Macaca mulatta: one gene and its partners. The protein of the gene in region 4 interacts with the protein of the main gene of each other region in a pairwise test. Links are inferred from orthologs where the notes say so. Each region holds a gene or a part of one and is shown on either strand. Other genes may lie near its edges. The genes, in order: CHRAC1, TUFM, HAPSTR1, FAM9B, CEP95, RUSC1 and DAXX.

Region 1 (4,116 bases), on a different chromosome or scaffold from region 4:
TTATCAGGCTTAAAATTACATTAAGACTTCAGATTATCTTGGTTTCTTAAATTACAAGAAATCACTGCGGAGGCCGGGTGTGGTGGCTCAACACTTTGGAAGGCTGAGGCAGTCGGATCAGTTGAGGTCAGGAGTTTGAGATCACACTGGCCAACATGGTGAAACCCCATCTCTATTAAAAATAAAAAATTAGCTGGGCATGGTGGCAGGTGCCTGTAATCCCAGCCACTTGAGAGGCTGAGGCAGGAGAATCGCTTGAACCTGGGAAGTGGAGGTTGGAGGTTGCAGCACTCTAGCCTGGGCGAGACTCCGTCTCAAAAAAAAAAAAAAAGAAAAGAAAGAAATCAATCACTGGGGAAAAGAAAAACATGAGGTCAGAAAGAAAGCAAAGCCGGTATCAAAACTGGCAGAGAAGCAGGCATTTTCCAGAGGCTTTAGATGTCTAACTTATGAAAAAGATTAATCATAACTGTTTAATGGCCAACCTCTAGAGTAAAAAAAGAAGCGGCCAGCAGTGCTGGCTCACACCTGTAATCCCAGCACTTTGGGAGGCCGAGGCGGGTGGATCACAAGGTCAGGAAATCGAGACCATCCTGGCTAACACGGTGAAACCCCGTCTCTACTAAAAATACGAAATCAAAATTAGCTGGGCATGGTGGCGGACGCCCGTAGTCCCACCTACTGGGTAGGCTGAGGCAGGAGAATGGCGTGAACCCGGGAGGCGGAGCTTGCAGTGAGCCGAGATCGCGCCACTGCACTCCAGCCTGGGAGACAGAGCGAGACTGTCTCAAAAAAGAAAGAAAGAAAGAAGCAAAAAGCCATTCAAAAATTCTATTTGGCTCAGTAATACATTTTTAGTCTTCTATTTGCATACACTGTTTCTAAGGTGGTTCACCTACAACTATAGTGACCACAACTCACATTTTGCCGAAACTTTTCTATTCTAGAAACTAACGTACAATCCTCAGACCTAATGCAACAACCGGAACTGATCATCTTCTCCCTCCTGCACCCCAGTTCTTATAGCAGGCCCAAGTCTTCATTTTTACAGAGGCTGAACTGAGCCTTTCTCAAGGTTTTGACTTTAATGCATCTAGTTCAGTTAATAAGGGATGAGAAAGACAGGCATGGTGGCCTGTAATCCCAGCAGTTTGGGAGGCTGAGGCAGACGGATCACGAGAGGTCAGGAGTTCAAGACCAACTTGGGCAACATGGTGAAACCCTGTCTCTACCAAAAAGTACAAAAATTAGCCAAGTGTGATGGCAAGCACCTGTAATCCCAGCTACTCAGGAGGCTGAGGCAGGAGAATCACTTGAACCCGGGAGGCAGAGGTTGCAGTGAGCCGAGATCACGCCACTGCACTCCAGCCTGGGCAACTCCATCTCAGAAAATAAGGGATCAGAAGTGCCTGCATAAATCCTCATTCCTTAATACCAACAGAATGAAACCGTACAGGAAAACACAAATGCCCCCAGATGACCCCAGGGTCACTTTCCCTCTGGCTGTTTGTGGCGTAGGTGCAATAATTGCTGAATATGCAATTATTTCCCTGGGCTCTAGGAAAACATGGCTCTGATATAAAGCGGGCAAGAAACCTGTAATTTCCCACTTCCCTTAGTTCTAGTCCAATACTGTCGGAACATCATATACTTAACTACAAGTAGGGACTGGAAAATGGAATCCAAGGCAAGCCAAAGCATTTAACTGTGTAGCTGAAACATGGCCCAGTTTCAGAACAGGAAAACATCTGGCCTAACACTATCAAGACGCAATTTCTTAAAAAAAGACAAAATTAACTATTTTGCACCCAAGAGGATGCTAAACAGGCTGTAAAACTAAGTTCCCTGGACTTCCTTAAATTCTGGTTGCGGTATGTGCTGCCTCTTAAGACGAGGGGCCAGGTGTGGCGGGCGGGTGGGCTCGAAAGCCTCGGACCGCTGGAGCTGGCACCGCACCTACGGGGAAAAAAGCCTCGAGTGGCGGGTGAAGCGCCTGGCTGCACCTCCCACGGGACATTGGAGGAGTCAGGGTCCCCAAAGCACGAAGCAGGCCAGTGACGAGAAAAGGAACGCCGGGAGTGGGAATCTCGGGCGAAAAAGCCCCCAAAAAAACCTAACGAGAAAAGCGCCACTCGACACCGACGCCCACGGGTAGAGCCGGAAACTGCGAGCCGCACGCGAGGGAGGACGGGAGCGTACAGGTAGGCGGGACGAAAGGCACGCAGAGGAACGCGGGAGTTTACAGGTTTGCCGGACGGAAGCGCGCGAGAAATGGCGGGAGGACAGTGGGGTGGGAGGGGCGAAGGTGCACAAGGAAGGGAGGGGCGGGCGGAGCGAAGGAAGGAGAGAAAGGGCGGGAGAGGCGCGCGGTAGGCGGGGCGAAAAAACTCGGGAACCGGAGGGAGCGGCGCGGGGTGGGCGGGGCGAAGACGCGCGAGAAAGTGTAGGGGCGCGGGGGCACCGTGGCGCGCGCCGGCGTGGGACGGGGACAGCGGGGCGCGCGCGAGCCCGGCAAGGGCAGCCGGCGGCGCGCGGGCCCAAGGGGAATGGGCAGTGCCCGGAGCCCGGCGGGGCGGGGCGCGACGGGTAAGGGCGGCCCACACCCCCGCCCTACCCCCTCACCGTGGCCTTGGCTGTGAGCACCAACGCCTCCTGGTTGATGCTGGACACCTCGGGGGAGCTCTTCATGATGACCCGGATGCGGGATAGAGGCAGCGAGATGAGCCGCTGCTCCCCGCACTTGTCTTTGCCCACGACCACGTCCGCCATCTTCCCGCCCCTCGCGCGGGCGGCAGCCGGCGGGCCCGACTGCTAAGTGGCTGCCTTGCCGGCCAGCCGGTGGGTGCGGGGAGCCGCGCTCGCTGCCCCGTGGGAGTTGTAGTGTGGGGAGGCGCCGCCGCGAGGCCTGGAGCGGCCCGTCCGGGAGACTACGAGCTCCGTGATGCCTCGCGCGCCCAATCTGCGCATGCGCCGCCCTTCGGATCCTCCCCCCCTACCCGAGTGTGTGACCTGATGTGGAGCCAGGAGTCCAGAGTCTAGTGAGGGGCGGGGGTCGGGGCGCTGCGGGGGCGCGCACTTCTCGGGAGTCTCCGAGCTGCGATCGCGGACTACGATTTTGATCCGGGTGAGGGCTCTGCGAATGGGCAAGCAAAACCCTCTGAGTCCGGGCCTCGTCGCTCGGTGCTGTGTGTTAAGGGCCTGCGCTGTGCTAGGACCGGGCGTGCCGCCGTGGGCAAAAGTGACGCTTTCCTGAAGCACAAATTTCTGGGGGGGCGACCAAGCGGCAGCAGATGCGTCCTGCGCCGGTAGCCACGCGGCCGGTGGAAGAGCAGAGACCAGCACGGGCCATGCGGCGGGGCCGGGCTTGCTGCACCGCTCTGCGCTGCGGGGTGATGGGGAGAGGCGCCTTCATTGGGGGTGAAGGGCGGGGAGCTGCCCGGAGGAGGTCCTGGAGCCTGGTGGGAACAGCCTCTTCGGGGCTGCTCCGAGAGACGGTGTGCAGAGCCTGGCGTGCTCGCTGAGGTCTGACAGGCAGCCCGGGGCTAGGTCCTGTTGTTTTTTTTTTTTTATCTAAAAAAAAAAATGGGAAGTCGTGGTAGGGTTTGAGCAAAGGAGTCCCGGGCAGTTTTTTTTTGTTTTTTTTTGTTTTTTTTTTTTGAGACGGAGTCTCGCTGCGTCGCCCAGGCTGGAGTGCAGTGGCCGGATCTCAGCTCAGTGCAAGCTCCGCCTCCCGGGTTCACGCCATTCTCCTGCCTCAGCCTCCCGCGTGGCTGGGACTACAGGCGCCCGCCAACACGCCCGGCTAATTTTTTGTATTTTTTAGTAGAGACGGGGTTTCACTGGGTTAGCCAGGATGGTCTCGATCTCCTGACCTCATGATCCGCCCGTCTCAGCCTCCCAAAGTGCTGGGATTACAGGCTTGAGCCACCGCGCCCGGCCCGGGCAGTTTTTAAAGGATCCCTGCAGCTGCGGGCTGGGAGGGGGTGGGTGCGCTTAAGGGCGGAGTCACAGAGACCAGGTAGAAGATGATTACGAGAACCCAGGAACTTGGCCCTCAGGAGGCCGGCGGTACCAAGGGGACAGCAGCTGGGAGGAGAGAGGCAGGAGATGGTCAGG
Region 2 (4,225 bases), on a different chromosome or scaffold from region 4:
AGGAAATCTTTCTGTGGGTACATGCTGGCAGAGCTAAGCTTTTAACCTGCTTCAGCTTAGGGCACGCTGGATGAGGACTCCCGCCCCTAAGTCCATGGGCCATGCCCCTTCTGTTGGCTAGCAGCGACAAGCAGCCCCTTTCCACCTAAGGAAATAAAGTCACTTGGGTTGTCACAGTGTGTCTTTGGAACTATGAGTGAAGCAAAGGTGATATAAAAAGTGCTCCCTCCACCCTACATTTCTCCCACCCACCGTACCTTCTCTGGGGGCAGGATAACCCGACAGGCCATGTCCCAAGTCAGGGAGAACATGATAGGCATGAAGTGGGACACAAAGGGCTTGTGGCGGCCACCTTCCTCCTTGCTGAGGATGTAAACCTGGAGGAGAGTGAACAATGAGGGTGAGATGGGCTCGGCTGGAATGCTGGGGACAGCTTGGCTCAGCCCTGCCCACCGTCACCTGGAGCCCTCACCTGGGCCTCCACCTTCTGGTGGGGCTTGATGGAACCCGGCTTGACCATGACCAGGCCCCGCCGCAAGTCCTCCCGCTTCAAGCCTCGAACCAGGGCCCCGAGGTTATCTCCGGCCTCGGCCCTCTCCAGGTTCTTGTGGAACATCTCAATGCCTAGGAGGAAAGGGGAAAAGGAGTGGGGAGAAGGAAGGCGAGTGTAAGATGGAGGGAAGGTACAAGGGATCTGCCGGGGTAAGGCCACCCTGCAGTCAGCCCCTGGTCCCCAGGCTGGCTTCCCGTACCTGTCACCACAGTGCGGATGTTCTTGCTGTGTCCTAGGAGCTCACACTCGTCTCCCTTCTTTAAAATGCCACGCTCTAGCGTACCTGTCACCACAGTGCCACGGCCTGAGAGGGAATAAGACAGGACATCAGGGACCCCGAGCTAGGCTGCTGCTAGAGAGAGTGCGTGGGAACAGGCAGAGTCCTCACCAGGGACGGAGAACACCCCCTCTACAGGCAGCAGGAAAGGCTTCTCCAGGTCCCGGGTGGGCACTGGGATGTAAGTGTCCACAGCATCCAGTAGCTTCTGCACAGATTTCAGGCCTAATTCAGGGTCCCGACCCTGTTGAGGGGAAGCGACAGGACTCTGAAATCCCCATTCTACTCCCCTCGATTATCAAGAGCCACTTCCCAGACACAAAGCAGAGCTCTGGGTGCCCATCTAGCCCCACCCTCTGCAGCAGCCACCCTGCCTGACCCGGCCTTCACCTCAAGGGCACAGAGAGCAGAGCCTACAATGACTGGGGTCTCCTCCCCTTTATAGCCAAACTCGGTGAGCAGCTCCCGGATCTCCAGCTCCACCAGCTCCACCATCTCAGAGTCCTGGACAGCGTCAGCCTTGTTCACATACACCACCACATGCTCCACCCCAATCTGTAGACAGCAGAGAGACAGGGACAGTATCCAGAGGGGCCCAACTCCCCACTCTTCCCCTCTGCACCTTTACCCAGGCTCTGAGTACCTGTCTGGCCAGTAATAAGTGCTCTCGGGTCTGGGGCATGGGGCCATCATTGGCTGCTACAACCAGGATGCAGCCGTCGAGGGGTGCAGTGCCTGTGATCATATTCTGGGGAGGAGGAGGAGAGGAAACAGCCAAGTTCAACGAGCTCTTCAGTCCACATCCATATAGGCAAGTGTAGCAGTTAGAATCTCAGGCCCACCTTTCTCTATCATCTCCTCACCACCCATTCTGAGTGGTCATGGCCACAAACCTGCCATCTCATATCCAAACACTGAATATTTTAATCTCCTCCCCACAAGCCTAACATTTATCCTGACAAGAGGCAGCTTCTGGCCCTGTCTCCAGTGTCCCAGCAACCCTCACCTTAACATAATCTGCATGACCCGGGCAGTCTGTGTGGGCGTAGTGGCGGGCGGCAGTGCTATACTCCACATGGGCCGCATTGATGGTGATACCCCGAGCTCGCTCCTCCGGGGCATTGTCAATCTCCTCATACTTCTTGAATTTAGCCCCACCTCCCTCGGCTAGAACTAAAGGAGAAAGAGAACACACCTCTCAGCTAAAGTTGCAGTGCTAGAGGCAGAGCTTAGACCACGCCCCTGAGCCCTCCCACCTAAATACATAACCTCCTCCAATCTCTAACTCTTCCAGCAGAGATAACTGTGGGTCAGAAAGAATGTTAGGGGGCCTTTAGGGTCTACCCTGTGACTTCTTTGGGGTACAGCCTCTGCTCTTGGAGCCACAGTAAACACCTCCAGCAGACACTCTGCTAGCCTTGCCCCCCTGGCTCCAGGTCCCATCAGTAGATAAGGCGCTACTGGACGCCCCAACCCCACTCACTCTTCGTGATGGCTGCAGTCAGCGTGGTCTTGCCGTGGTCCACATGGCCGATGGTACCCACATTCACATGTGGCTTGTCGCGCACGTAAGTCTTCTTGGCCTCCACGGCCAGGCCGCGGCACAGGAGAGGCAATGCCGGAGTCTTCAGCGGCCGCAACAGACCCTGCAGCAGGAAGGTCCGGCCGGTGGCGAGACCTGCCGGGACCGAAGCTTGGGAGTCAGGCAGGACAGGGGTCAGACCGAACCCAGCCACCTACCACACCCCCAAAGTGTTCCTGGGCCGCCATCGCCCTCCCCGACCCCTCACCGCTGAAGTGGGGCGTCGCGCGCAGCAGGGTGGCTGCCGCCATTGTGGTCATACTCGCGCCCCAGGAACCGGGGAACGGGGCCCAGGAACCCGAGCGTGCAGCAGAGAAAGGGCGCCTGCGGCAGGAAGGCACTTCCGACGGAAGTAAGGACTGGGAGGGCAAGTCCGGGCCCCTCTAGCCGCCAGTGTCTATGGCCGTCTCCGCCGACGTCGGGCGCGCGGTTGAAGACGTCATGGAGGGGGCTGGTGTCTCGGGGGCGGAGAATGATGGAGAGGGTTTCCACCACTCGGGCCTCACGGGCTGAGGGGCAACGTAGTTTTCTCTGGCGGTCGCGGGGGGCACTGGGGAGCGTCCCCTAAAGCACTGGCGCCGCGAAGGCTCATGGGCGTACTAGTTGTCAGGGCGACGGGCTGTGGAGGTGCTCAGCATGGGAGTCAGGCGGGTTAGGCCGGACCCGGAGGGAGGGACTCGGGCTCGGGGAGGCAGCTGCGGCTCCGACTGCTCAGGAACCAACTGGGCCCGGCAGAGAGAGACCCCGAGTCGTCTGGAGTCCGACTCGCTACCCGGGTCTTGCGAGATATCTGGCCCCTTCTGCCGTAGCTGGAGGTAGGGGACCAGGTCCTGGACGCCTTTCGGGGATGGGGTGAAGTGTGACCTCTCTCTCCGCTGAGGCTTTGTTTTCTAATCTGTAAAATGGGAATAGTAGTATCCACTTCATAGGGAGAGCCTGACCTCTGGCCCTGAGAGGAGATTAACTGGGTAGGAGTCAGGGTTGGGCCCCGTGAGGTCAGGCAGCTTGCGGGGACCTTGTACTGCTAGACCTCACAGGGCCAGAGCCCACAAGACAGACAGCTTCGCTGCCCAACCCTGTAGCCCCTCAGCAGCCTAAGGAGCAATTCCTTTGGGCATCGCCCCACCCATCTAATTTTGCAGATGAGGAGCCAAGGATGAGGAGCCAGCTAGGGGAGTCTTTAAGGGCAGCCTGAGTCTCCTTTATTCTGTCTGTGGCCCCAGCACCTAACAGGGTGGAGCATGCAGTGAACGTTGAATTAATGAGTGCAAGGGTAGTCAATGTCCCTTAACTTCCACATCCATCATCTCATGGCAGCTTCCACATGGCACTCCAAAGTGTTAATTGTGGTTGCTTAACCCTGATTTATGTTTCGGAACTCATCAGATCCTGAGACTCAGTGGACAGTGTTGCAAAGATTCCCTAATTCCTCCCCTGGAGATATGATTCCGTCGGGTCTATGCACGGACTGGGAAGCTATGTAACAAACACCCTTCCAAAACTCAGAGGAGGCTGGGCATAGTGGCTCATGCCTATAGTCCCAGCACTTTGGGAGGCTGAGGTGGGAGGATGGTTTGAAGCCAGGAGTTCAAGACCATCCTGGGCAGATTAGGAGACCCTATCTCTACAAAAAAAAAAGTTTTTAAATTAGCCAGGCACAGTAGTGTGCACCTCTAGCCTCAGGAGGCTGAGGCAGAAGGATGGCCTGAGCTCAGGAGTTCAAGGCTATGGTGAGGTATGGTCGTGACACTGCACCCCACTCTGAGTGACAGAGAAAAACCCTATCTCTTTTTTTTTTTTTTTTTTTTTTGAG
Region 3 (4,117 bases), on a different chromosome or scaffold from region 4:
CATATGGCCTAGGCTGAGAACCTGGCACATAAAAACACTAAAAATGTGTTGCCTTCCCCTTCAAGAACAAAGCAATACCAACAAGAGCAAAAGAATAAATCATGGTACTGCCACACCACAGAGCAATACTCGCCAATTAAAAGGCACTGAACTATGCACACCTGCAATGCGAACTCGATGGGTGAATCTTATCATAGTAAGTGGAACAAGCCAGACACAACAGGCTACAAGGACTGCACGGTTCTATTTAGGACATGATGGAGAAGAAAAAACAGTAATCAAATCAGTGACTGCCAGGGGCTGGAGTGGGGGTGACAGATATATTCTACTTGTTAAAAAAAAAAAAAAAAAAAAACGAAGTACACATTCTAAAACGGTGATTTTACCGTATGTAAATTACACTCCAAGAAACTTTTTTTAAATTAAGTATTATTTCAAAATTCCCTTTTTGGACAAAACCAAGAGCCATTCCAAAATGTTCAAGACCGTCAAGCACTACAGATGTTGAAGCAATTTACTCAGTCACAATTTAAGAAACAGCTATATAAAAGCAAAGCCAACCACTGGGGCACTATTTAACCATGTTCCCTTTTTTCAGTAAGGCTGGACTAGTAGCATGATAGTTCCTCATTCCCTAAAGTTAGCGTTCCTTTTCATCACTTTGTTACCAGTTCTCAAATTACTGTCCCAAAAAACTGTAGTCTACTCAAGAAATCTCACAATAAGAAATATTTTTCCTACAAGATGCAGCGGCCATTTGCACATTCTTACACAAAAATTAAAACTTGAAAGTCACGCAGCAGCTTCATAGCCCGTTTCAACCTATACCGGTATGTTTGAAATGCACAAAATTCCATTACTGTTCTGAGCAACTCTTAAAAGTTTGAAAGCATTTAATTACGTTTTTCTTAAGATTAACAAAGTCATAATCCTTTTTCCATAAAAACCTTGCCAAAAACAAAACAAAAATTCAACCTCAAATTTCTCAGTCTTCAAAATCAGTAAGGCACAAAATCTAAACCCACCGTTACCAAGAAAGCACAATGGTCAAGAACGTTTACTTACATATCTTCATGTCATCACAAAGGGTGGATTAACTCCAGAAAGGAACCACCATAAAACACAAATCTATCAACTCAAAACCCTCAATAGAATTCCTGCCAGCAACTCATAATAATCAGACATAGAATCGTTTTGACAGAAAACACGTGATGAAATGCTAGAAAAGAGCAGCACGTTAACATGCACGCAGATGACCGATTAGCAAGCTTTCAAGCACTTCAAAACTACATACACTGCCACGCTCTCAAATGCCTAACTCAAGAATTTTTTCCATACAGTTCGTCCCACCTCCGACTGTAGTACAAAAAACATCAACTCTTTTCTTCCCTCAACGTCTTTTCCAGTGGGAAGCAAGGCTCAGCGTCTCCCAGCTCAAGGCTTCTCAACCTGAGCACTACTGACTTAAGAGACAGGATAATTCTTCGCTGAGGGGGCCGGGGGTGTTATCTTGGGCACTGCAGGACCTTCAGCAGCCTCCATCCACTGGGTGCCAACAACAGCCCCCTCTAGGAGAAGACAACCAAAAACGTCCCCAGGCGTTGCCATCTGTCCTGAGGGGTGTCAAAACTGCCTCCGGTGGATCTAGCTAGAGCACCGCCGGGATTCTCAAGTTGCAAGGTATTCTAGGTTAGCAGCTGGGCTGGGGAGCAGAAAACACACTTGGAACGCAGGGGAGACACCCTGACGCAAGCGGCCCTTCCCTGAATCGGCAATGCAGCAAGGTTATCTTTACCTTTGTAGAGGTTGGTGACGGCGGTGGCTGCGTTTTGGAAGGGGACCCAGAGAGAAAGTCCTGGCTGCTGACACACTCGGTCTGAAAAGCAAACCAAAAAAAAAAAAAAGAAAGAAAAAAGAAACACACATAGAAAAAGAAACAGAACAAGAATGTTATTTGGGCGTCAATCACTCCGGAACGGCCATATTAGGTTTCGCCATTTTGTTCAAGGGTTTCGGGATCCCAAACCCAGTGTGAGGACCGGGGGGCAGGGGGGTCGCGGCGGGGAGAAGGGGATGCCGCAGGCCTCAGGGGCTCAGATCAGGGACAAGTCGCGGCGCAGGGAGGCGCCCCCCTCGCAGTCCCCGCCCCGAGGCCGGCTCAGGGCACAATGGGGCCGCCCCGCCGTCTCCCTTCGCCATTTTGTGACGGGGGCTCCTCCCCTCCCCTCTCCGGGCCGAGGGGGACACCGGGCGGCCGGGCCCGGAGAGCGGGGACCCTCGGACGACCGCAAAGCGGGGCTCCCCCGACGCCGGCCCTGGCCTGCCCCCCCAACCCCGGGCCTCCCTCCCACGGCGCCATCTTGCGGGGAGGGGGCGGCAGAGCCGCGGCGCCACCGGACGGGACCCCCGGGGCCGCCGCCGTAGCGGCCCCCCGAAGCGGCAGCCGAGCCGACAGGGCCGGGCCCGGGCGGGGGCGGCCAAGCGGCACCAAGATGGCGGCGGCGGCCTCACCTTTGTAGAGCTGGGCCACGGCGGTGGCCGAGTTCTGGAAGAGGTGCCACAGCTTCTGCTGCTTGTGTTCGGGCTGCGCGGCGGCCGCTGCCTCCTCCTGCAGCTCTGGGGGCAGCTGCTCGTCCTGCTCGGCCTCGGCCAGGCACTGCCGCTCCCACTTGGAGAACCAGTGCTCGGGCCCGTGCTCCTGGATCTCGGCCTCGCCCTCCTCCTTCCGCTCCTCCATCCTCCGCGGCCTCCCGCGGCCTCGCCGCCGCCGCCGCCGCGTCCTCCTCAGGCGGGGCCCCCGCGGGAGCGTCGTCGTCAAGCGGCCCGGCGGCAGGGCCCGGCGGCCGGCGGCGCCTCCTCCTCTCAGCGGCCCAGGCCTCCTGCACCCCGACGGCCGGCGAGCCCCGCCCCGCGGCCCCGTGCAACCAGGGACGACCCCCGCCCCAGGCCTTCCCACCCCCCGGGCCCCGCCGAGGTCGCCGCGGACCAGATGACCGCTGCCGCCCCTCGCCTCCCCCGCCGCAGCCTGTCTAACGCTCCCCCATGACGCTGCGGCCTCCCAACTGCCGCCGCCGCCGCTGACCGCCGAGCCCTCCGCGCAGCCCGGCCTGCACCGCTGAGCCCACCCCAAAGACTGAGCAACGTCGTCGTCGCCGCCGCGGAGGACGCCTCTGCGGCTGCTGGTCCCCGCCCTACCCCGCCCACATGCTGACTGGAGAAGCACCGCCCACTGGGCCCGAGCTCCCCTGCCCGGTTGGGGCGTGGCCGCTCCAAGGGCCCCTATTAGTCGGATCAGACCGGTTCCGCGTGCCGGCTTCTGAGCACAGCACCGTGATTGGTTCTTCGGCCTGTCTGCCTGACGTAACCAAGTGGCTGGGGGAAGGGAGTGAATGTCAGGAAGGATGAAGAGGGAGGAGGGGGAGGACCTGACAGTGGTTGCGTCCGAGCCAAGGTAGCCGGTGGGGGTGGGGAGGAAGAGCTTGAAGGGATGCGCATGCGCACTTGCTCGCTGCCCCCGAGCTCCGGGGCGCCGAGTGGGGATCACGTGACCAGGCCCAGCGACCGCACCCCGCGGGAGCTTTTCCGGCGTTTACAGGCCCTGGGGGATGCAAAATCGAGTGCGACTACTGTGCCGCGGGCATTGAGAGGTGTAGTGGGTGGTAGCGTGCTTACTCCAGCCCCTGGGGCTCCCAAAGGGAGGAGGGGAGTAGAGAAAGTGAATAAAACGCCCGACTCGTGTCCAAGTTTGCAAAGCACTTTCCGATTCTTTTGAGTGCCCCCCCACTTCATTTATTTTTTCCCTTTGAGAAGGAGTCTTGCTACGTTGTCCAGGTCTAGACTCCTGGCCTCAAGCAATCCTCCCGCCTCGGCCTCCCAAGGCGCTGGGAATACAGGCTTGAGCCACCGCGCCCGGCCCAGAGTCCCATTTCTTAGATGGGCAAATCGAGCAACAGAGCCAAAGAAAAACTTAAGAGTTGCGAAGTCGGCTCAGCTGCCCCTGCGCCCTGGCGTCCCCGAGGTCGTTGCGCCTTCCCGGTGGACAAGAGGCAGCCGCCCGCGGAGCCGAGGATAACCCGACTGCCCAGGCTGCCGGGTGCCCGCACGCGTCTGCGCCTTG
Region 4 (4,104 bases):
CAAACTTTTTTGAAAATATGGTCCCTATAACAGTGCAACTAATATTTCACACAGCAATATAAAGTTTATGAGTTTTTGGATCCAATTACATGTTTCTCACTAGATAGAAAAGTTGTCCTTTTGTACTACACAGTTTATTACTGGAATAATAATGGAAAATGATTTTAGAGAATTCAATTTTCTCTTGTACTTCAAATAAAACAAAATCAGAAAGCTGTGACAATAGAATAGCTAAATTAAGAACATGAAAAACTCATATTAAAAACTCTGAGTACATATGGACAGGAAGAAGGGACCAACAGACAACTGGGCCTACTTGAGAGTGGAGGGTAGGAGGAGGGTGAGGATCAAAAACCACCCATCAGGTACTATGCTTATAACCTGGGTGACAAAATAATCTGTATACCAAAACCCTGTGACATGCAATTTATCTATATAACACACCTGCACATGTACCCCCAAACTTAAAGTGAAAGCTTAAAAAAAACCTGATATATGACTTAATCTGCGTACACTAAAAGGAACGAATAGAGCTGTTTCTCCTCCAATGTCCTCTAATATTCTCCAAACAATTAAATTTCCACGTGTATGAAAGAAAAGCCATCCATCTCGCTTCACCATTATTAGAAGCATTCTCACATTCCACATCAACAATCAAAGAGGTAAGAAAAATTTATCAAACAGATTACATTAAATACGTATGTTAAATGCTACATATGATAAGCCATTTAAGACAGTCTTGTCATCCACTGATTCATATAACTTACTGCAACAGTTGCATGATTGAAAACAATTTTCATAAACGACAGATAACTCCTAAAATATACCTGCAGTATCTTCTGGCTTCTTGGTATTAGCCCTGTAAAAAAAGTTACATCAAAATTTTAGCATAATACTACACAAAATGCCATGTTTGTTGGGAAAAGAAATGTCTTATGTGAAATGTTCTGCACAGAATAGAACAGTGATGACATGGTCCAAAGGTGACTTTTCCTAAAAGACCCTATCCCACAGGCAAAAGTGACTTAAACACTTTACCCCGTGTGCTCGTCTTTTTCAGCAAAAGGTTCTCTTTCCCCATGCTCATCAGTTACATCTTCCTCCCTTGTTTCTGTAAAAGGGTTTCTTTCCTCACATTCGTCACTGACTGGATCCTTTCCTGCATTAAAATTTAAAAGACAAACCTTTTTTAGAGGAAGACACTGTTGTGGACTTTTTTTGTGGAGAAATGTACTTGTTGTAGACTTTTTTTTTTTTTTTTTTTTTGGCTATCTGCCAATTAAGGCTTTAAAGCAGAGCTGTACATGGAATCACCGGCTTCTGACCATTTTATCAAGGCACTTTTGGAAGCCCTTCGGGTTCAAGTCCCAGTAAACAACATACTACACGTCAGACCCCTTGGATGTCATGACTGCACTCATGGAGAAGAGCTGCTCTGGGAGCATCTGTAACCCCGCTATGAGGGGAGCCTTTCACGGGAAGCCTAAGGCCCTTGAGCCTGCTTTGAAAACCTGGGGCATCTTAGCACGTGCACGATGGACTCCAAAGCCACGAAGGGGCCCGGGTCCTTGGGCTACCCCTGTGCCCCCAGCGCAGAAAGCAGACAGACCGTCCTCTTGGGCGTGCACTTTCTTCCGGGTCACCTTGGGCTGTATTTACCTGCACGCTCCTTCCCCTGGGCCGCCATAAATTGAGCCTCCAACTGGGCCTTGGCAGCCCTCCTGCCCACAGGATCCGTGGCTGGCTGTCCTGGGAAGCTACAGGTGATCCCTGAACCTGATGAGGGCAAAGGCACACTAAGGAAGCAAAGGAACCCTGGCATCGGAAAGGAAAGCCATTGGGATCACAGGTTCAAGAAGGGTGGGGCTGGCACGCCCTGGGTCTCCTGTGGGAGCAGGAGGGGACCGAAAAGATGCCAGTGTCCCCTCCTGTCCTGGCCCGTCCAGCCCGTCCAGCCCGTCCCCGGGGCTGGCTGCAGAGCTCACAGCTGCCCCTCACACCTGAACTCCACGGCGTCTGCGGGATCCTCGCCGCACCTTTGGGACAGAACTCAGCCCTACCTCTGGGTCCCCCAGCGACCCCGTGTGGCTGGGAGGGCCACCGGGTGACACAGGATCTCCCCAGCCACCTCCAGAGGAATGTCAGGGGCTGCACTGTCACTCACCCGCCTGGATGCACAGGGGACCCCTGATGACCCCAAGTGTCCTGTCCTGACGGGAGGCCGGGCAGGAGGGCCCCACTCAGACTGTCCCCAACAACACCCTCGCCCCACCCCCACTTCCCCCCACCTTCCGCACCTCCCCCCAACACATGCACAAGCCCTCCTGGGCCCTAGGGATCACCCAGGCGGCTCCAGCTCCCTCCCTGCCCTGGCCCACCCCAGCCCACCCTCAGGGCCTCGCCCTGACCCAGGCCCCAGGCGACCACGCCAGGGGCATTTCCTCACAGGTCAGCGGGCGGCCCAGCGCTTCACACCCTGGTTCCCAGAGGGCCTCGTGCCTGCGTTTCCGCCTCCCCACCGCGAGCGCTTCACCTGAGGGACCCCTGATGTGGCGCCCTCAAAGAACCTGCAGACAACAGCACCACTAGGATCTCTTAGAAAACGGGTCCTCTCAGGAGGCTGAGGCAGGATGATTGCTTGACCCCGGGAGGCGGAAGTTGCAGTGAGCCCAGATCGCGCGGCTGCACTGCAGCCTGGGCGGCAAGAGCCAGACTGTCTCAAAAAACAAAAAACAAAAAACAAAAAACAAAAAAGAAAACAAGTACTCAGTTCTCGTGAGAGCTGCCGACAGCACTTCCTACGCTCCTCGCAGATTGGTCGACTCAGTGCACATGCGTGTGACAGGCCGTGTGGGGCCACGCCCCCTGCTGGCACGCCCTCCCCCTTCCCCTAAGTGACAGCAAGTGGTTGCTGTGGACTGAGGTGGGGTTGGCCCTTTGGGGCCTCTGTTCCCACATTCTTTCAGCTTCTGCTCCTGGGGAGGGACACAGGACTTGGTATGGAGGCCAAGTGGACAGGGCCTAGAACCTCGCCCTGGGGCTCTTTCCAGCCACCCCTGCCCCTTTGGCTAGAATGGCCATCATCCTATGGGTTGGGCCCAGGCTCCCTCCCATGCCCTGTGTGCTTCCAACATGCCCAGCTGCATCCTTTTCAATCAATGGATTGTGCTTTTATCGTTTTTGTTTGTTTTTGAGACTGTGTCTCACTCTATCGCCTAGGCTGGAGTGCAGCAGGGTGATCTCAGCTCACTGCAACCTCGGCTTCCCGGGTTCAAGTGATTCTCCTGCCTCAGCCTCCCAAGGAGCTGGAATTACAGGAGCCCAACACCAAGCCCTGCTAATTTTTTTTTTTTTTTTTTTTAGTAGAGACGAGGTTTCACCATGTTGTCCAGGCTGGTGTCGGACTCCTGACCTCAGTTGATCTGCACGCCTTGGCCTCCCAAAGTGCTAGGATTACAGGCATGAGCCACCGTGCCCTGCCCATAACCATTTTTGTTTCCTCACTACTTTTCTTTCTCATCCTCATGCCCCAGACTTGCCCACAAACCCTCATGCTCCAGACTTATGCAGACATATGCCACAACCTTCACCCACAAATTAATGCCTTAATACTTATCGTTAACTCAGCTTTTTCCCACCTCCAGTCGCCTATAATAGGGGGAGAGTTGTTTTGGAGTTAGGAGTAAATAAATATTGCCTAAAGTTTGTAAATCAAGATATAGAGTTTCATTATATTATTGAAATTATATCCCAGCACTTTGGGAGGCTGAGACGGGCAGATCACAAGGTCAGGAGATCGAGACCATCCTGACTAACACGGTGAAACCCTGGCGACAGAGCGAGACTCCACCTCAAAAAAAAAGAAAAGAAAAGAAATTATAAAGGCAGTCATCAGGAAAACTAATCCACAGCCTTAAATGTCTATATAACCAAAAAGAGCACACACAAAGAACACAAATCCTGTAGTAAAAATTGAAAAATAAAGAAAATACTCCAGAGACCATAACATAAAGGAACAAAATTAAGGCCAAGTGAATCTGTTGAGCAAGAAATATGAATGAGATAAACTCAGAATCTAAAGGAAATGACTTCCAACTTGGATCA
Region 5 (3,500 bases), on a different chromosome or scaffold from region 4:
TTGAGAAAAAAAAAAAAAAAAAAATCCTGCCACCGCGCCCAGCTAACTTTTTTTTTTTGTATTTTTAGTAGAGACGGTGTTTCACCGTGATCTCAATCTCCTGACCTTGTGATCTGCCCACCTTGGCCTCCCAAAGGGTTGGGATTACAGGCATGAGCCACCGCGCCCAGCCGCTCATTCACTTTTTAAAAAATTCCTTTCAGACTCTGTATCACAAAATGTATGGGTTTTTTTGTTTTGTTTTTTGAGGCAGAGTCTCACTCTTGCCTAGGCGGGAGTCAGTGGCACAAACTCGGCTCACTGAAACTTCCACTTCCCGAGTTCAAGTGATTCTCCTGCCTCAGCCTCCCGAGTAGCTGGGACTACAGGCGTGCACTGCCATGCCCGGCTAATTTTTGTATTTTTAGTAGAGATGGGGTTTCACCATGTTGGCTGGGCTGGTCTCAAACTCCCGACCTCAGGTGATCCACCTGTCTCAGCCTCCCAATGTGCTGGGCCACTGCACCCGGCTCACAAATCTACATTACTTTAACATATATAATTGGGACATAAAATGAAATTTTACATCACGCATTTTTTCTGTTCTCAAGTTTTTGCAATTATTTTGATACTCTCCTGAGTGGAAGTTACATGCTGAGTTACAAATGAGTGTGAGACGTCTGAATTAGTTTTAGTTTTTCACCATCATAAATCCTACTGCATTATAAAACCTACTACTGTAAACAACTTAAGTGTTCTAAATCCATGCTACATTTCAAAATCCACATTCCACAGGGGAAAGTCTTCCTAGGTAATCATACCAGTCTCGTTGTTGTTGAATCCCAACCACCTCCTCTCATTCCTGTCTTGGGTACTTGATCTCATCTTCTCTGTAACTCAAGTGGCCTGTCACTTTAATCCACCTCATATTCCCCTCATCTCTGAAGCTCACTCACTCTGAAAATAACAACTCACGCTGATCTCCTCTTTCTTAATCTACTGGAACACCAAGCTATGTCTGGCCAGGTTATTTTTCTTAAGTTTCATGAGTATAATTTTATGCTAATGGAGACATAAGCTATGCCACGTAGCTCTCTATCATCCATTCCGCTCAAGAATATTAAATGCATTTTAAGCCTTAAATCAACAGCATGTTCATGGTAGCATCTGGCTGAGGGGAAATGGTATTGGCTGCTGCTTAATGGTAGTCAAGAGATGGGGAAGCACCTGTGCTCGGAATTGGTGGGTATCTGTTTCTCTTGGTTTGCGCTGCCTTTTTCTCTCCGTGTGGAACTGTTTGCATTTGTTAGCTGGAGATGGAGAGAGCGAATGGGATCTGTAGGGTGGCTTTCTATGCATGGAAAGTCCTGCAACAGAGAAAAGACACATAACATTAGTTCCTGATAGCCAGAATGTTATGCTGGAAACCAAAGTTGGTTTTTACTAAATCCAGAGAGACTGATGAGTGAAATGTGCTAAAGGGACTGTCTTCTGTAACTAACTTGTATTGGTATGGTAACACCAAGTAACAGACAAATGCATACGAATGTGTACTGTCTCAAACACTTAGCTTCTACATTCAACTTTGGATATTCAACATGTGGAATGCCTCCTATGCACAAAGGACTATGGAGAGTGCTCTTGGTGATGGGGGAGATGGGAAAAGAGAAAAGGTAAATTATCTGAGCTGCGCATCTGCTATCCTTTTACCTGTCTGGGTCCTGAGGAGGTGGGATGTAAGCATACATATCTATCTTATTATATATGCTTACAGGCAAAGTTAACATGTTAAGCATTGTCTAAGCGGTCCCAATTTTTCCCTACTTAGCAATCTAGCCCTCCTAATTGCACACTGCCAAAGAGATCTAACAAACCATTTCTTTCTACAAACCTTTTTATCCCATTGTCTATAGGTGTGTCTGGGCATCTGCTAGTCGTGAAGAGGGTGACTCCAGTGGGAAAAGCACTTCAAGAGAGCCTTAAGACCAAGGAAGCTAGTTTTGGTACCTTTATAAATAAATTTTCCCTGAGCTTGTTATTTTTTTCACATGCTTTTAATTCAAATCTTTCACATTTCAAATTCTAAGATGTATTTTTAAAAACTGACTTGCATAATCTATTTTGAATGATAGCTGCTCATGATGCATGATGTATTCTTCTCCAGAAACTGAAGACGCACCTGAAATAATATTTTAATTTATAACCTGTTTTCACAACAGGATACCATGTGTATGTACATAATAAGGGAAAGGAAGAGGTTCCTGGATGAGGGTGCCTAGAAATTGGCTGAGTCCTTTTAAAGGGAAGAGAGATGAAACAGTCAAGAGAAGGAAAGAGCATTCTTGAAGGAGTAAAAAACAACTGAAAAAGTTAAGGAAGTTGGGTCAGAAAAAGGCTATTTCTGAAGAAACAATGGATGACCAAAGTAGATAAAACTAAATATAAAATATGCAGGATTTTAGTTGGTGGAAGACAGGATAATTGGATTTGAACAATGGCATATCAAACAGTAGGAAGTGTCTGCAAAGACGTGGCAAACCAGAAACTGCTGATATGAGTATAAAGCAGTGCAATCACTTTGGTGGGCAAGCTGGCAGTGGTGAAGAAATGTAGGCCTTACGATCCAGCAATCCTACTAGATGGAGATATCACAGAAACTCTTGCACATATTCTAGGCTGTTCATTGCAGATTTTTTATAGTAATGAAAATTGGAAACAATCAACATGTCCAGCAATAGGGGAAATGTATAGTGCTATACATATATATATATACACACCCACACAAAAGTGACACACTGTAAGAACTCACAAAAGTGACACACTGTAAGAACTCAGTTACACTGCAGTTAAAATGAATGAGCTGGATCTATAAGTATCAACAGCAATAGATTTCTAAGACAATGTCAGAAAAAAATGCAAGTTGCAGAATAATATATATAGTATGTTAATTTCTAAACGACATAAAACAATAGTATGTTTAGACAAGTAATGTAAGAGCTGTTAAGAAAGTATAAAAACAAGGATCAGAAGAAAAGACGCCAACTTTAAGATAGTGGTTGCACTGAGGGTGGGGAAGAGATCTGTGGGGAGAGCAGAGGGGGTTTCTACTGTTTTACTTCTTAAACACAAAGGGGCTAAAGCAAATATAACTGTTAACACCTGCTACTTCTAGCCGGGGAAGATCCAGGTGTTTGATATTACTTCTGATCCTTTTATATATTTCTCAACTATTTAAAATTAGAATCTAAGTTATTAAGAACAGATGGAACTGCCTAAGTAGTTCACATGGCTGTCCCCCTTTCTCAGTCTCTCTGGGGTAAGTACCTGGCCTTGTCTTCTTTGGCCCATACTCCACGATGCCATCACTGTGCTGAGACAGTGTCTCCTCAGTTCCATCCTCTACCTCTTCATTTCCAGTATCTTCTTCTTTATGGTCAGTCTTTTCTTTAATCCGACCACCCAGGGCACTTTTTAACATCTATTGAGAAAACTTTTTTCAACATCTTTCACTGACTTCACCA
Region 6 (3,729 bases), on a different chromosome or scaffold from region 4:
GATAGTGGGAGGGGCCTTGGAGCGGGCGGGGCGGCCCGCCTGAGGCGTGGCCCGCGGGGCTTGCCCGGGTCCGTCTTACGTAGCCTGGGCGGAGGCGATGGGCTCCTGGTCCAGCGAGGGGCCTTCGGCGGACGAGGTTGCGGTGGCAGCGGGGGGGCGGGTACCTGGCGGGGTGGGGGAGCCGCGGCGGGGAAGGTGCTACTTCTGGGAAAGAGCGGGGACAGCAGCAGTGCCAGCTCGGGGCTGGCCAGGCAGGGCAAGGCTCCCCGAGTCGGAGGCGAATAGGCTCCCACTGGGGACAGGCGGACGGGCAGCAGCTGCTCCTCTGGGGGGCTCGGCGCCCCCAGCAGCCGCAGCCCAGCGCCAGGCCACCCTGCCAGAGGAGCCAGGAGCAGAGACCCAGCTGCGCCTGCGCCCCCACCCTCCAACAGGGGGCGCCCGTCGGCCGAGAACCGGAAAACCAGGGGCCGAGGGAGCAGGAGGGGACCGGCTGCAGGCGGGATTGGCGGGGCCAGGCGCAGAGGGAAGGAGGGCAGCGGGATGGGCAGCCAGGCAAGGAGGGGCGGGAAGAAGAGGGAGCAAAGAGTTAGTCCCATATCCCAATGACCCACCCAGTTTCCCTTTCCCGGAGCGCTCCCTGGTAGAAGGGGCGGGGAGGATGGGTGACACAGAATGGAGGGAAGACAGGGGGCCGGGTTGGAAGCCTAGGAGGCGTGAGCGGCCGAAGCCCAGCCCTCCTCCCGCTTCTTGCGACCTCTTACCCTCCAGGCCGGCCTGCGCGCCCGGCTCTCCCGGCTCCTTCGCGGCTGGGGCCTCCTCGCCAGCCGCTGGGCTGACAGCCCGGCCCTCCTCGGACTGCCCCTCCGCTATGGGCTGCAGTCCAGGTCGGTTCTTCTTCCTTCGGGGAGGGACAGGCGGGGGTGGGGGCCGGGGCGGGACCAAAGCCCAGCCAGCTGGGGGGTCTCGAGGCGGGACTGGCGGGGGTGGGGCCCGGCTTCGGGACCGGAGTTCCTTGAAGGTGGTGACTTCCCGAGGAGGTGCCGAGGAGCCGCCCAGCGACCCCGAGGGGGGCAGCTCGGTGTCGGGCGAGAAGACTATGAGCCAGTCACTGCGATCTTTCTTGGCCTGCGGGACGAGGGGCAGCCCTGGGCCCCGCTTGCGCTTCTGGGCCAGCTCGTGGAAGGACGTGATTGTCCGGTGGGGCACCGGCTCCTCGCTGACGTCACTTCTCCATCCTCCATCAATTTTCCCTGCATCTGTTTTCGAGCCAGAATCAGTTATTCTTGTGTTGGTTTTCCAACCAGAGTCGAATTTTTCAGGTTCATTTTTCCAGCTAGAGTTAACATTCCCGTTGTTTTTCCAACCAGTGTTACTGTTTTCCGTGTTTTTCCATTCAGCTTTAGTTTTCTCTGTGTCAATTTTCCAAATTGGGTTAATCTTCCAACTGGGCTCCGTTTTCCCAGCGTCGATTTTCCCATCATCCGCCTCTAAGAGCTCAGAGGTAGGGAGATCCTGCTCCGCGCTCTCATCCTCTTCCTCCAAGCCTGGGGAAGGGAGGTCCTGGCAGGTGGTCAGGGCGTTGCAGTTCGAGTCCAGGCCAGGATCGGGTGAAGAAGAAGCTCCGGAGCAGGAATCAGGAGAGCAGCAGAAGCTGTCCGGTGAGCAGGTGCCAGGGCCTGCTGAAGCCAGTGGGGAACCTTGCTCCAGGGGGATGATACTGGGCTGAGGGTGGGCATCCTCATCACCAGGGAGGTCCCGCAAGTAGACTGAGACGGGGGACTCATCGGGGCTAAGATCTGAGCAGGAGCTGAGCGAGGAAGAGCAGCCTGGGTCTGAGGGAGAGGCAGCCCCCTCTTCCTCCTGTGATGGGTCCTGCCGGTTTTCTAGGCCCGGACCGTGCTCCTGGCAGCACCGGCAGGGCACAGCTGGGCTGTTGGAATTGGCGTCCACCAGGGTGCCACTGCAGGGGCCCCTGCTCTCCTTGCCCCCAGTGTCTCCTGGGGGAGGGGATGTGCTCAAGGGCCCTTCCCGTAGCTCAGGACGGCGGGACAAGTGCAGGCCCAGGGAGACGTGCTGGAGATGGATGTGATTGAGGTTGCAGAGTAAAGCTCTCTGAGGAGACAGCATGGTGCCAGCGGCGATGGGATGGCTTCTAGAGAACCAGGAGGGTAGGGTCTCTCACATCCACCTACCTGGCAACCACAGGTGCAGACCTAGAAGACAGGGGTGGCGAAGCCCAGCCAGTGAGGACAGGAGCTGCGGGAAGGACACTGAGGTGACTGACGGCAGCAGCAGGCCTGAAGGCTCTGGCTGCTTTGGAAGATATTTCAATGAGATGCAAATCGCAATCGACTGGCCATTAGTTTCCACTGCAGTGTTTGCAGGTGGAGTCGAATGTAACCCTCCGGGAATGGAGCCGGGAGGGTCAGAGAACGCGGCTGCGCTCTGGATTTCCGAAGGGGGGCGGGGGCCCGGAAGAGGTCCGGGCCCAGAATGGACCTCCGGGTCCCTGCTGCCGCAATCTGGCCCTGCCCTCCTGCCTACCCCTTACTCCCACAGGAAGGGACCCAGGGAGACCCACCCAGATGCCCTGAAAGGAGGCGGGGGATGGGGGTGGGTCGATATGCAGAGTTTGCCTGGTGAATGCAGGAAAGGGGTGGGAGCTGGAGAGGAAAAGGATGGAGCAGCCGTCAGCTCGTCAACTCCACATCTGCTGGCTGCCTCCGCCGGGCTCCAGCCTGCGCCCTCGCCCCTCAGAACAGCGGTATGTCCATTCTCTCCGCATTCGTCTCCATCGTTCAGTCACCACCGCACCCCTTCTCTATTCATTTCTCCTGCTCCCTTGTCCTGCCCCGCCCCTCGTGCCCTGGTCCATCGGCCTACACCCATGGGCCGAGCCCTCCTCACCAGGGTCCTCCTGGAACCGCTCCGGCCTTGGGCTTGTCCTCGGCTCCCACGGTCCCCGCCCGGCGGGGCACAGAGCGGGAGGGGAGGGGCACTAGCACAACCCACTCTGCGCAGCGCATCTGCACCCCTTCGCGCATGGGCGTGGCGTAGCTCAGACCCGCCCCCAGCGCTTAGCGTCTTGTGTCACCCACCTAGCGGGTTTGATGTATCCCAAGCTTTTGGCCCTGATGCCAAGGCCCCTGGGTCCCGCTTCTGTGCAGCGAGTCCTCCCAGCACCCCACCCCGCACATTCTGGAAAGAGCCAGACTCTGGCTGCGCCGAGCAAGAACAGAACCACAAAAAGGTTACACAATTATTTATTGAGAGCCTCCTCTCCCCATCCTTGCAATCTCTAGGTCACTTTTTCCGCTTGTAGATTTTGCGCGCAAGCCCCAGAAAGATGGCTGGGGGCAGGGGCGCTGCGTACTGTTCAATGAGAGCCATAATGTGGCTGTAACTGTCCTCCTCATATTGCAAGAACACAGCCTGCAGATCCAGCTCCTCATATAGTGCCTTCACCCGGGCCACTTTCTCAGCCTCCTTCTGCCCGTAATTTTCCTAAAAGGGGTTGGAAGACAGGAAAACGGGCTTGGCCTTCCCCAGAGCCTCCAGGACCCCTCCACTCCTCTCATTCTCATATTTCAGAACATCTCCAAAGCCACCCACTCCTTTCCTCCCTCCAATTTTCTTTTTTTTTTTTTTTGAGATGGAGTCTGGCTCTGTCGCCCAGGCTGGAGTGCAGTGGCCGGATCTCAGCTCACTGCAAGCTCGCCTCCCGGGTTT
Region 7 (4,257 bases), on a different chromosome or scaffold from region 4:
ATCACTCTCTTCATCTTCTTCGTCATCTGTCTCAGCTTTGGAGGCAGAAGGGCACCCCTGGGATGCCATTCCACTAGGGCCCTGGGGGACAAAGAAGTTTCTCTAAGGAATCCCTTGCCCTAGAGGGTTTGGTTCTTGCATTCCTTCTCATGCTCCCCCATCAGTCAACCTGGACTCCCTGGTGGCCAGTGCAGGGGAAGGACAATGTCTCTCTGAAGGCTTTACCCCATCCACACCTCACCAGAATCCAAGGAGGCGGGGGTGTCTTCAGAGTGGGAAGAGGTGCCTTGGAGCCGAGCTCTTCTCTTTTTTCTCTCGCCCTCCTCACTTTTGTCTTGCAACATTGCATATTTGGAGATGACCTCATCCAGCCGACTCATGGCCAAACTCCGGTTTTCCCGAAGGCGCCGGGCCAACACAGGATCTGATAGTGCAGGGTCAATGCCTACGTGGGAAAATATAAAGTCAGAGCACTCAGCCGTGGAAGGGACTAGAAGAGTACAAACCCTAGAAAGGACTAGAGAGATGCCCCATCCGCCTCATACCTGACATATAAGGGTCACTGAGAGGCATCCCACTAACCCCCTACCTGGCCTATAGTCATCTGTGAGGTGGCAGCCAAAGTTGTAGATGAGATCGAGGTGACGTCGTTCCTGTAACCTGATGCCCACATCTCGGAAGGCATCCTGAGCCATGAGCTGGAGCTGCTGTCGGGGGAGGCCAAGGCTGTGTCGGGCAGCTGCCTTCTCTACTGCCCGAAGCACATCCCCATAGTCAGGGAAGGTATCAGGCCCTGGCTTGTTGATGAGCCGCTCAATGCGCCTGTTAACCTCTGGGTAGCGGGTGCCACGGTAGGTGATGCGCTGCTCTATGACACGGCCGGTCAGTGAAGAGCAGTCTTTCAGCTCACATAGTCGCCCAAAGAGGCGGATTAGCTTACGCTTCAACCGTGCCTCCTGCAGGTATGTGGAGTCTGGGTCATCCAATTCTGAGAGATCCAACTCCTTTTCCTGCAGCCGCTTGATCTCTGCCACATAGAGCGCCAGCAGCTGCTCCAAGCGCTGGATCTGCCGCCGGGAACCACGGGTCCTTGGGGCCTGAGAGGCAGTGTTTTCAGCATTTGTGGGGTCCAAGGAGAGGTGTGTGGGAGGGTTATTCCCAGAGGGCTCATTGGACGTGGTGGCAGCAGGGGCCAAGTTCAGCTTCTTTTTGGCTGAGTGGGCCTTGAGAACAGTGCAGAGCTCATTGATGTAGACATAGAGCTTAGATGGCCGGCTCTGGGCCCGAGATAGGACCCGAGAGAGGATGTTGCAGAACTCCGCCGAGGCCAAAAACAGAGAGTGGGCACGTTGCTGCCGGTTAGAGAGGAATGGGACCACCTCAGGGTGGTCCGCTGTCTGCGTCTTACAAAGTTCAAGGAACTAGAAGGTTCAGGGGAAGAAGGAAGGGGAAGAGAGACAAGGGAGGGGGTTGAGAGAAAGGGGAGTGGGGTTAGTGGGGAAGAAAGGACAGGAGAGCCAGTCAGCCATCCCCCTCCCTGGGGTACAATGATCTTCCCAGCTAAAGCTCACCTCTTGGAACAGCTTCTCATTCTCCAGCTTGTAGCACTTCTTGCCGCCCGAACTACTGCTTCCTCTGGCCCCATGAGGCTCAGAAGAGCTAGGGGCTTCTGCCCCTGGTGAGGCTGTACTGGGGAGTGGGTGGGAGGGCCCTGGCTGAGCAGCTGCTTCATCTTCGTCATCATCATCCAGCACAATGATGCTGTTAGCGGTGGCCATGGGGGAATCAAATCCCCCGGAAGGAGGAAGTGGTGGGGATTTCAGAATTCCTGCTGGAAGGGGATGGGGCCTCAGAATGAGCCCCTCCAGCATAGCCCCATCCCTTCACCTCACGCATTTTCTGAACTCCTTGGGTTTCAGCCCTGACCAACACTGTCTTCACCACCTGATTTCAATAACCATTAGTTCTATATGCTTTTCGGGCCCTTCAAGTGGTGTGGGGGGGGGCAAACCCCCCCACACCTTAAGTTGCCACCTTCTGCTCCACCCCTCACGTCGATTTCCGGTCTTTCTGTTGCATTTCCCCACTCTTTCTCAGAGTTGGCAAGTTGGTTCTTTCTCCCACACTGCACCCTAAATCGTCCTGACACCCCCTGGCACAGACAACACACTCCTGTGGGCGCCACCTCATGTGTTTGCCCCCTCTGCCCTCAAACAAGTCAACCCCACACCCGCCCCATCCTGAATGATCACCCCAACTCCTAGACTCTCTGAGGTGAAAGAGGTTCCCTCCCAACAGTCCGTTCTCTTTTCCCCTCCTTGAATTATCTCCGTATTTCACCCTCAGATGAGTCTCCTCAAACTGGGCCTTTAGGTTGAAGATATTTTACCCAAGTCCCCTCCCTTTCACCCCACCCTAATTTTCCCCATTCTCTCGGTGACCTGTAACTAATTAGAAGTCCCCCCGCACCGCGCTACGCTCTCCCGATTCCTCTTAGATCCCAACCCTGGGTCCGGCCGGTCCGGTAGATGCGCTTCCCGCCAAATCCCCCTCCCCCAGTTCAGCCCCCGGCCGCCCCACTCCCTTTCAGGGATAGGAAGGTACCACAGTTTTCCCCTCAGACTCAGAGCCCGGCTCTCCCCAATACCTCTGCCTCGATATCCCCGCCCCCGCCTCTGATCCCCGCACCATCCGGCCCCCACCTCAGAAACCGTCTCTCGAGGCGACCCTCGCCGCAGATCTCAGAACCTCGCATGGTTCCCTCCGCCTTCCTTCCCACTCCCACCGCAGGCCCCACTACGGACCGGAAGCAACAGAGTTTCCGCCTGCATGCAACTAAGCGCCGCCATATTGTCGTACGGAACAAGGCTTCCTGTGGCCGGAAGCGGCCGTAGGCCCGCCCCGCGAACACCTCCAGTGCCGCCCACATAGTCAGCGCTGTCTTCCAGGTCGGAGTTTGTCTCCCCGAACCCGGGCGTCCCAAAGCAGCTGGGGGCCGCCATTTTGCCGTACGGCGCTGGCTACGCCAGAACTTCGGTGCGCAGCCGGAGGAGCTCTTTTCACCCGGTGCTTCTCTGACTCCGCCAATCAGAAACTTCCTCCCTGGGGTCCAACCGCCGGCGAGTAGCGCGTGGGGAGAACGGAGCCTCCGTTCCAAGGAGGGGCAGGGGAACCGAACAGGGTGGTTTAGGAATTAGGCTTTCCAAAGCTGCGTAGGGTTTCAGGGAATGGCAGAAGTCTCTTAAAAGGGAAGTAAAACCTTTATCTTCAACTAGGCTATTGGCAAGCTATCTGGCCCTGCTTTCCTGTCCCCCAGGTTCCCATCTCCACGGCTTATTCGGCTGACCCAGCCCCTTCCCCTGCAAGGGCGGCGCGCTCCTTGCCGCTGTCCAGCAGCTGCTTCTACTGCCAGGTGCTGCGTCCCACAGTCGTTATAACACATGCGTACAAATAAGCACAATGCGCCATACAAAAGTGTTATTATTATTACTATTGTTGCTGATTTGCTTTTCAAGCTTCACCACAGAACTAATGACCAGACGGTTGGGACCTGAATGGTTCTCCTCCAGAGGGGGTCCTCGAAGGGCCGTCGGTGCTGACTGTGAGGCCGTGCTTTGTCGTGGAGGCCCAGGGTCTGCGGATGGGCGATGATGGGGTGGGGCTTGGAGGAGAGTTTGAGCCTCTGCAAGGGCTGCTGTGAAACGAAATGAGGCTCATAAAATACTTTGGGTTTCCTCCTCCTCTTCTGGGAGAGGGTAAAAAAGAATGAAAGATGAAGAAACAGACTTGATACCCACCTCGTTGAGTTTAGGGAGGTTGGAGGGAGTCGTGGAGGCAAGGCTGGGTCCAGAGGTGAGCTTATGAGGAAACCAGAAAGATTAACAAGGTCCCAATCGCAAAGATTCCCATTTCCACAAGTGGTGGGCATCTTGCCGCTTAACTAGGTTCACAGAATTTACTACATCCCTAACGCTGAGTCATAGAATCGCAAACACCCGTCCATTGAACAATCCCACATCACTTCTCTCCAGTCGTCAAAGTCTACAGCTTTCAAAATGGGGAACATAAAAAACCTCCGCGAGGACTGGAACTTGGGAGATGTAAGGGATTTAATTTCCAGAACCTCAACTTTCCCAAAATTGGTCTTCCTAAGGAAACACCTGCAGTACAGGTTCTCATTCTTCACTTCTCCTTTTACAATAGAGACACCCTCTTAAGAAAAAAGAAAAGAATAGTTCTCTCTTTTTCCCCTCCGCC

The links.
Region 1: the proteins of FAM9B (region 4) and CHRAC1 interact in binary tests that used the Homo sapiens proteins (3 or more experiments, as listed by UniProt). The two-hybrid records come from large-scale screens. The link is inferred for Macaca mulatta from reciprocal best matches to the Homo sapiens genes FAM9B and CHRAC1.
Region 2: the proteins of FAM9B (region 4) and TUFM interact in binary tests that used the Homo sapiens proteins (3 or more experiments, as listed by UniProt). The two-hybrid records come from large-scale screens. The link is inferred for Macaca mulatta from reciprocal best matches to the Homo sapiens genes FAM9B and TUFM.
Region 3: the proteins of FAM9B (region 4) and HAPSTR1 interact in binary tests that used the Homo sapiens proteins (3 or more experiments, as listed by UniProt). The link is inferred for Macaca mulatta from reciprocal best matches to the Homo sapiens genes FAM9B and HAPSTR1.
Region 5: the proteins of FAM9B (region 4) and CEP95 interact in binary tests that used the Homo sapiens proteins (3 or more experiments, as listed by UniProt). The two-hybrid records come from large-scale screens. The link is inferred for Macaca mulatta from reciprocal best matches to the Homo sapiens genes FAM9B and CEP95.
Region 6: the proteins of FAM9B (region 4) and RUSC1 interact in binary tests that used the Homo sapiens proteins (3 or more experiments, as listed by UniProt). The two-hybrid records come from large-scale screens. The link is inferred for Macaca mulatta from reciprocal best matches to the Homo sapiens genes FAM9B and RUSC1.
Region 7: the proteins of FAM9B (region 4) and DAXX interact in binary tests that used the Homo sapiens proteins (3 or more experiments, as listed by UniProt). The two-hybrid records come from large-scale screens. The link is inferred for Macaca mulatta from reciprocal best matches to the Homo sapiens genes FAM9B and DAXX.

The regions. Positions count from the first base shown.
Region 1 is NC_133413.1:150,833,643-150,837,758, reverse strand, and holds the start of CHRAC1 (chromatin accessibility complex protein 1), read right to left. Parts: upstream 2,801-4,116; 5' UTR 2,770-2,800; coding exon 2,623-2,769; exon of another isoform or gene 2,492-2,622; intron 2,246-2,491; exon of another isoform or gene 2,190-2,245; intron 1-2,189. UniProt on the Homo sapiens protein: Forms a complex with DNA polymerase epsilon subunit POLE3 and binds naked DNA, which is then incorporated into chromatin, aided by the nucleosome remodeling activity of ISWI/SNF2H and ACF1.
Region 2 is NC_133425.1:28,093,539-28,097,763, reverse strand, and holds the start of TUFM (elongation factor Tu, mitochondrial), read right to left. Parts: upstream 2,801-4,225; 5' UTR 2,673-2,800; coding exon 2,621-2,672; intron 2,509-2,620; coding exon 2,314-2,508; intron 2,004-2,313; coding exon 1,837-2,003; intron 1,579-1,836; coding exon 1,474-1,578; intron 1,386-1,473; coding exon 1,221-1,385; intron 1,075-1,220; coding exon 942-1,074; intron 858-941; coding exon 753-857; intron 625-752; coding exon 473-624; intron 378-472; coding exon 258-377; intron 1-257. UniProt on the Homo sapiens protein: GTP hydrolase that promotes the GTP-dependent binding of aminoacyl-tRNA to the A-site of ribosomes during protein biosynthesis. Also plays a role in the regulation of autophagy and innate immunity.
Region 3 is NC_133425.1:10,312,706-10,316,822, reverse strand, and holds the start of HAPSTR1 (HUWE1-associated protein modifying stress responses 1), read right to left. Parts: upstream 2,801-4,117; 5' UTR 2,738-2,800; coding exon 2,512-2,737; intron 1,877-2,511; coding exon 1,796-1,876; intron 1-1,795. UniProt on the Homo sapiens protein: Acts as a central player within a network of stress response pathways promoting cellular adaptability. The E3 ligase HUWE1 assists HAPSTR1 in controlling stress signaling and in turn, HUWE1 feeds back to promote the degradation of HAPSTR1.
Region 4 is NC_133426.1:8,568,769-8,572,872, forward strand, and holds the start of FAM9B (protein FAM9B), read right to left. Parts: upstream 2,801-4,104; 5' UTR 2,534-2,800; intron 1,777-2,533; 5' UTR 1,688-1,776; coding exon 1,660-1,687; intron 1,160-1,659; coding exon 1,039-1,159; intron 860-1,038; coding exon 828-859; intron 1-827. UniProt on the Homo sapiens protein: May play a role in meiosis.
Region 5 is NC_133421.1:74,427,422-74,430,921, reverse strand, and holds part of CEP95 (centrosomal protein of 95 kDa), read right to left. Parts: intron 3,458-3,500; coding exon 3,304-3,457; intron 1,347-3,303; coding exon 1,207-1,346; intron 1-1,206.
Region 6 is NC_133406.1:111,658,952-111,662,680, forward strand, and holds the start of RUSC1 (AP-4 complex accessory subunit RUSC1), read right to left. Parts: upstream 2,257-3,729; 5' UTR 2,128-2,256; coding exon 762-2,127; exon of another isoform or gene 491-761; coding exon 80-490; exon of another isoform or gene 1-79. Other genes in the region: putative uncharacterized protein RUSC1-AS1, read left to right, coding at 2,336-3,322; FDPS (farnesyl pyrophosphate synthase), read right to left, coding at 3,304-3,504. UniProt on the Homo sapiens protein: Associates with the adapter-like complex 4 (AP-4) and may therefore play a role in vesicular trafficking of proteins at the trans-Golgi network. Signaling adapter which plays a role in neuronal differentiation.
Region 7 is NC_133409.1:148,966,160-148,970,416, reverse strand, and holds the start of DAXX (death domain-associated protein 6), read right to left. Parts: upstream 2,801-4,257; 5' UTR 2,756-2,800; coding exon 2,703-2,755; intron 1,832-2,702; exon of another isoform or gene 1,779-1,831; coding exon of another isoform or gene 1,762-1,778; coding exon 1,572-1,761; intron 1,422-1,571; coding exon 590-1,421; intron 446-589; coding exon 237-445; intron 82-236; coding exon 1-81. UniProt on the Homo sapiens protein: Transcription corepressor known to repress transcriptional potential of several sumoylated transcription factors. Down-regulates basal and activated transcription.